2 linked regions of the Canis lupus familiaris genome follow. The protein of the gene in region 2 interacts with the protein of the main gene of each other region in a pairwise test. Links are inferred from orthologs where the notes say so. Each region holds a gene or a part of one and is shown on either strand. Other genes may lie near its edges.

Region 1 (2,656 bases), on a different chromosome or scaffold from region 2:
TGGGGAAGAGACGAGAGGCAGGGCTGGGGTTGGCTGTTTGGAACTGAGGGGGCCAGGGCAGGCCTGTCAGCTGAGCCCTTGCACAGAGGGAACAAGAGGATGGCAGGAGCCCTGGGAGTTGGCCTGTGTCGTGGTAGATTGGAGAGAGAGACCAGGGTGGCCCTGGGGAGGACCCAGGAAGCCACCTGACATCCTGCTATCGGTTTAAAAAAAGAAAATAAAGATTTTATTTATTTGACACAGAGAAAGAACACAAGCAGGGAGAGCAGCAGGCAGAGGTGGAAAGAGAATTAGCTCTAGCCTTTTTTAATTTGTTTTGCGGTACAGTTTTATTGAGCTATGCTTCACATACCATACAATTCACCCGCTTCAAGTGTGCCAATTCGGTGGGTTATTTACTCTTAGTCTGTTCACACAGTTATGCAGGCATCACCATGGAAAGAAGCCCTGTACCCTGTAGCCAGCACCCCTATGTCTCCCACCCACCACCACTCAGAGCTCTAAGCACCCACCAATCTACTTACTGTCTCTATGTATTTACCCGGAAATTTCATAGAAACCTCATAATATGTGGTCCTTTGGGACTGGCTTCTTTCACTTAGCATAATGTTTTCGGTTCATCCACATGGTAGCAGTTCTTTTCGGTGGCTGAATAATACCCCATTGCTTGGCTACGCCAGACTTTTCCTTATCCAGCCATTGTTTGATGGACATTTGTGTACCATTTGATTACTTTCATTTTTAATTTTTTTTCAATGATTTTATTTAATTGACAGAGAGAGCATGAGTGGGTGGGGGGCATCAGGCAGAGGTAGAGGGAGAAGCAGGCTCCCCACCGACCAGGGAGCCCGATGTGGGGCTTGATCCCAGGACCCTGAGATCATTACCTGAGCTGAAGTCAAGATGCCTATCCCACTGAGCCACCCAGGCATCCCCCTTGTGATTAGTTTTATTATTTATTTATTTATTTATTTATTTATTTATTTATTTATAGATTTTATTTATTTATTCATGAGAGACACAGAGAGAGAGAGAGGCAGAGGGAGAAGCAGGCTCCCTGTGGGGAGCCTGATGCGGGACACGATCCCAGGTCTCCAGGATCAGGTCCTGAGCTGAAGGCGGCGCTAAACCACTGAGCCACCCGGGCTGCCCTAGTTTTAATTAGGTACTGTATGACTCAGGTACAGTATGTGGGCATTCTCAGAGTGAGAGAGGCACACGGTAGAGACACAAAATATCGAAGCCCCCGCGCTTCTCCTTCCACCCGGCTCTTCCCCCCCCAGAGGTGGCTGGGGACAACTTGCTCCTTACTGCTCTGGTCACACAAGTGTGGCATTTCTTCCCATGATTTCCTCTGATGCTGCAGGGGTTGTGGCTCCTCCCTGGGCCGCAGGGCCGTCTCTTCATCTCCTGGGGTAAGAGGGCCCCCCCAGGCCTATGAATTTGCAGAGGTCCCTGGGGATCATGAGAAGGCCCTGCAAAGGGACTGTCCCCAATCTCTGAACCCCTGCATTCAGGTGTGGATGGGACGGTGAGTGGCTGGGAAGAGGCCAAAATCAACAGCTCCAACCCACTGCGCTATGACCGCCAGAGCGGGGAATTTATAGTCACGCGGGCTGGGCTCTACTACCTGTACTGCCAGGTAAGCCCCACCTGGCTCCACGGTAGGGCAGGAAGCGGGGGCCCCAGGTTGAGGGAGACGGAGAGGGTTTGGTTCAGGGGGCAGGTTGGGGTGGGGAGCCTAGGGTCGGGGCCCGATGGGATCCTGGGGTCACCAAGGACCCCGGACTCTGCGGCCTCCTGCCGGCCCCCAGGTGCACTTTGATGAGGGGAAGGCTGTCTACCTGAAGCTGGACTTGCTGGTGGATGACGCCCTGGCCCTGCGCTGCCTGGAAGAGTTCTCCGCCACAGCCGCCAGCAGCCTGGGCCCCCAGCTCCGCCTCTGCCAAGTGTCTGGGCTGTTGCCCCTCCGGCCCGGGTCCTCCCTGCGGATCCGCACCCTCCCCTGGGCCCATCTCAAGGCCGCCCCCTTCCTTACCTACTTCGGACTCTTCCAGGTTAACTGAGGCGCCCTGGGGGCGCCCCCACTGCAGCTCCCCCCACCCCCTGCCCTGACCTGCCTGCCCTCTGCAGGCTGCTTGGACTTGTTCACCTGTTTCCGTGCCACATACATAATCCTCTTCCCCTCTGACACCCCCATCCTCCACCTCACTGGCCCCTGAACCCCTGGTCTTTTGAAGCCCCCATTTATCTCCTGACTTCCTAACTCTTGGCCAACCCCCGCCACCCCCCCTCCCCCCCAACACCAGCCAAAGGACACTGTGTCTATTCTGGGTGAGAATGGGTCCCTAACCTCCCCCCACTTCAGGCACTAATCAGGGCTAGACGCCAGGGCGACTGGGACACGGAGGCCGGGAGTTCCCATACGCGAGGGCTGAGAACAGGATGAGCTCCTTCCCTGTGGATTTTTAAAACAGATATTATTTTTATTATTATTGTGACAAGATGTCAATAAGTGGATATTAAAGAGAATAAACCACAGTCTCTCTCTTTACTGGGGTGTGGGGAACATCGCTCAGAGGAGCTGGGGGCTCCATGGGAAGGGGGCCTGGGTACCTAGGAGTGGAGTGCAGGATGCCAGGGCAAGGTACAGGCC
Region 2 (4,328 bases):
GCTCCTAAACTTTCCCTCTCGTAACAAGGCGCCCTGTCACCCAGCCTGCTTCCCTCTGCCTGGGGAGGAGGGGAAGGCGCACGAAGTAGGAAGGAACTTGGGGAGAGGGCGGGCGGAGGGTGGGCGAAGCACTGAGGGAGGGAGGTGAAGAAGGCAAAAGTCAAGCAGTGCGAGGGAGAGACGGCGGGGGCAGGTGAGGGCGGGGGGGCGGGGATGGGGCCGGGAAAGGGGCCGAGGACGCGGGGGGCAGAGGGTAGGGACAGCAGGGGAGGGGAGGGGGAGGGGCGGGGGGGCCGGGCCCTGCACTCACCGCGGCCCATGGCTCGGCCGGCCCCGCCCTGCGCAGTCGCGGCCCAGAGGGTGAGTGGGAGGGAGTGGGAGGAGGGTCGGCGGAGCCCGAGCCTCCGGTACGGCCCCGGCCGGTCCTAGCAGGAAGCGCCGCCGCCGCCGCCGCGGATCACCGAGCGGCCTCCCGCGCATGCGCCATGGGGGCCAGGGGCAGCCCTGGGGATTCCGTTCCCAGAAGGCACCGCGCAGGCTGCCGCCGCCGCCGCCGCCGTCGCTGCCGCCGCCGCCGCCGCAGCCGCCGCCGCCGCCGCCGCCGCCGCTGCCCGGACGGGAGAGGGGCGGGGCCGGGCCCCCGCCCAGCGGACAACGACGAGCCAACAGGAGGGGCCGCAGTGCGCATGCGGGAGCGCGCCTACCCCTCCCCCACAACCCCCCATTAATCCCCAAGAGAACAAACACCCCACGCGGCCCCCCCGCCCTCCGCGGAAGGATCTGAGCCTCTTCCCAGGCCACCGGCGGCCAATCCCAGCCCTCCCCGGGGAGGGGCCCCTTCCAAAGCCACAGTCTGTCGGGGGAGCCAGGAATGCCGGGTCCGGGAGGGGCCGGCCCCAAAAGATGAAAGTCGCGACTTGCCCTGCCCCGCCCCAAAGGCTTCCCGGGTAGTGTGCTGGGACTTGACCCGCCTCCCCAGGTCAACATGTCACAACAGGACCTCCGCCTGTCAAGTCACATGACCTCTGCCTGTCACTGACAACCTGGTCATGTCTTTGGGCCAGGAGAGACCATCTGGTCCAACCCACCCCCACCCCCATCTACTGAAGGGGAAATGGAGGTCTGGAGCAACGGAGCAGGCCCGGCCGAGGACCTGTCACCGTCACACCACCACCTAAACCTCCTTGCAGCCACAACCGGCCTTGTGACAGATTCTACTTAACTCTGGCTGCCCCCGTGAGGGTATGACAGTGAATACAACCGGCCGCCACATGGCATCTTTTTTCTCTCTAATGGCACAAGAAAAACGTTTGCATTTTAAGCGATGCTTTTCACTTTTGTTTAAGCTGCCTCCAAGTTCATAGTGCTCTCGTTTTACCTTCACAACTCGTCATCCTTTATTTACAAACAAGAACGGTTGTGGCACAGATATTAGGGGGCAAGTAAAGGGGCAGGTGAGGCCAGACTCTGGGCTCCTGACAACCCGGTGCAAGGCGGCTGCGCGCTCAAGTGCACCCAACGTCCCAGGCAACGAGGCTCTAAGGTCGCCCGAGCACCGAGGCGGCAGGCGGCGGGTGCACGGCTCCTCACGCAGGAGTCACAGGACCTGCGCGGCTGGTACAGCGAAAAGGGCGGGTCTTGATCCTTGGTGGAGGCACCAGAGTACGGGGGGGGGGGGGGGGGAGGCTGAGAATCGCGTCCACCGGGCCAAGTCCTGAATCCTGGCATGCTGAGCGCTCATCAGAAACTTCACAAAGATAAAAGTTAGGGGTGCTTTTCGGCGAGGAGCTGAAAATGACCATCAAAAGTACTCAAGTTCCTCGGCCCCTTCTGGGGGAATTAGGGAGCTAAACGGGATCTTTCTATGCGCCTACTCGAGGAGACGTTAGGCGGTCCTGTGGCTGCATGCAAACTTTCAAAAGAGATTGGCTTAGAAGACCTCGCGCCCACTAACTAGGAGGGGACCGAGCAAAATGGGAGCCCCCCATGCAGACGGCGAGGCGGGGGCTAACGCCAGGTGGGCGGAATAAGGGCGCCGAGGAGGACGAGCCGCAGCGCGGCTTCGCAGGCAGCCTGAGGGCGGCCACGGTTGGGAGCCGTTGGGGCCGTTGGGAGCCCGGCGCTGGCGCCCCGCCCTCTCCTCTCCCCCACCCCCCCGCACCGCCCACCACCCTCGTCGGCCCCTGCGCGTGCGCGCCGAGACACCGGTTGCCAAACATTGCATCATCCCCGCCCCCCTCTCCTCCCCTCCTCCCCTCCCCCCCAGCTCTCCCCTCCGCGCGCGCGCATGACTCACTCGCCTCCTCCGCGGAGCCTCGTGACCCAAAGCCACTTCCGGGTCCGACACCACCTCTACCCCCGGGCCGGCGGGAGCGAAGGGGGCGGCGCCGCGGGGGCTGCTGAGTGGCGGGCGCGGGGGGCGGGGCGGGGCCAGCGCCGGCGTGCCGCGCCCTGATTGGCAGGCTTGCGGGCCCGCCCCCGAGGGGAGGGCAGGGCCTCCTTAAAACATCCGCGCTCGGGCCTCCGAGGTCAGAGGCTTGAGTGTAAGGCACAGAGCGGATCATGTTGAAGATGAGCGGGTGGCAGCCACAGAGCCACAGTCAGAGCCGGAACCTGAGGAGAGAGGCGAGTACCGATCCCACCTGCTCTTTACCCTCTAGTCCTCGGGGATGCTGGTTGTCCCTTCGAAGTTGGGGCATCAGCTGCTCAGGATGCGGCCCCACCCGTTCCCCGACGAAGTTAGTGACAGTTCGAGGGAGGGACGGGGAGCATCCTTTATCCGGGAGTGGTGCTTACAGACCTCTCTTCCCTCGGACGGGAGCGGCGCCCCACCCTGCCCGGAGCGCGGGCCCGGCTCTGGGCCGTCGGGCTAAGGGGTCCGGATGCCCTCGGGAGACTCCCTGTCTTCCGCTGCTGCCCTAGGCCGCCTCCTTGGTCCTGTCCGGTGGGAGGCGGGGCGGCAGGACACTCCCCCACGCCGAGACGCCTGGATGGCTCTGGCTCACGCCCTTGCCGCCACTTTCCCACCAGCGGCCCTGCCCCTACCCCACCCCCAATCCTGTCTCAGCCCAGCGTCTCAGGGCCAGAGTGGCCACGTCGGTGGATGGAGCTCCTGGGTCCTGCACAGGACAGCCATTCCACACCCTAACGGAGAAGAGAACCTTAAGGAGACAGACTCCAGACTTTGGGAGGAGGAGGGATGCCAATGGCTAGGGAGCAGAGATGGGTTTTCCCATTCCCCCAGAGGTCCCGGGGGCCTCCTGCACAAGAGAGCATTCTGGATCCCTTAAGTGTGGGAAGCCATTTGGGGTCTCCCCAGTGTAGGGTCCTTCCGCAGGGATTTGTCCCTGCTGCTTTCCCCGCGTCCTGCCTCCCAGCTAATTTCTGTGTAACCGTTGCATCAGGCCAGCCCCCTGTTTGGCTCTGCAGCCCTCTGGCCTGGGGCCCCACTGCTGATGAAAGCGGCATCCCACACGCTGGAAGGCAAGGAGGGTCCCCCAGGGAGGACAGCCCTGAAGAGAAACACTCTGGGAGATATTGCATCTCCAGTCCCCAGGGCTGGGCAGCTGCTGCTCTGCCTCTGGGCTTCCTCCTCCCTTCCCTATGAGACACTGGGGAGAATTCTTTCATTCTTCACAAATTACTTATTACACACCTGCTATGTGCCACACATTTTAGGCCCAGGATGCATCTACGAACAAGGAAAAGACCTGTTCTCACAGAGCTTACATTTCGTGGGAAAAGGTGCACAGCGAACAAATATAGAAGTGCCAAGGAGAAAACCAAAGCATGGAAGGGTAGTGAATGCCCAGGATGTTTACCTTGAGTCATTAGAGATTCTCTCACAGAGGTGACATTTAAATGAAACTTCTGAAAAGAGGCAAAGTAGTAAGCTGTGCAGATTTGTGAAAGGAAGAGCTTTCCAGGAGAAAGAACAGTGAGAACAGAGGTCCTAAGGTGGGAGTGTGCAGAGTTTAGGGAGCAGGCCAGCTGGACGGACTAGAGGGAGAGTGGTCAATGAGAAATCCAGGGCAGGGAAGGAGATTGTGTGGGGCCTTCTAAGCCATATTAAGGACCTTTAGCCTTTAATATTCATGAACTTTAGTCCTTGAAGAGTTTTGAACAGACTGACAGGACCTGACTAGAGTTTTAAAAGGCTCACTCCAGGGATCCCTGGGTGGCGCAGTGGTTTGGCGCCTGCCTTTGGCCCAGGGCGCGATCCTGGAGACCTGGGATCGAATCCCACATAGGGCTCCCGGTTCATGGAGCCTGCTTCTCCCTCTGCCTGTGTCTCTGCCTCTCTCTCTCTCTCTCTGTGACTATCATAA

Evidence for each region. The genes of interacting proteins can lie anywhere in the genome.
Region 1: the proteins of DDIT3 (region 2) and TNFSF12 interact in binary tests that used the Homo sapiens proteins (3 or more experiments, as listed by UniProt). The two-hybrid records come from large-scale screens. The link is inferred for Canis lupus familiaris from reciprocal best matches to the Homo sapiens genes DDIT3 and TNFSF12.

What each region holds. Positions count from the first base shown.
Region 1 is NC_049226.1:32,687,758-32,690,413, forward strand, and holds the end of TNFSF12 (tumor necrosis factor ligand superfamily member 12), read left to right. Parts: intron 1-1,517; coding exon 1,518-1,642; intron 1,643-1,814; coding exon 1,815-2,066; downstream 2,067-2,656. UniProt on the Homo sapiens protein: Binds to FN14 and possibly also to TNRFSF12/APO3. Weak inducer of apoptosis in some cell types. Mediates NF-kappa-B activation. Promotes angiogenesis and the proliferation of endothelial cells. Also involved in induction of inflammatory cytokines.
Region 2 is NC_049231.1:1,963,480-1,967,807, reverse strand, and holds the start of DDIT3 (DNA damage-inducible transcript 3 protein), read left to right. Parts: upstream 1-1,515; 5' UTR 1,516-1,617; intron 1,618-2,296; exon of another isoform or gene 2,297-2,379; intron 2,380-2,475; exon of another isoform or gene 2,476-2,625; intron 2,626-4,328. UniProt on the Homo sapiens protein: Multifunctional transcription factor in endoplasmic reticulum (ER) stress response. Plays an essential role in the response to a wide variety of cell stresses and induces cell cycle arrest and apoptosis in response to ER stress.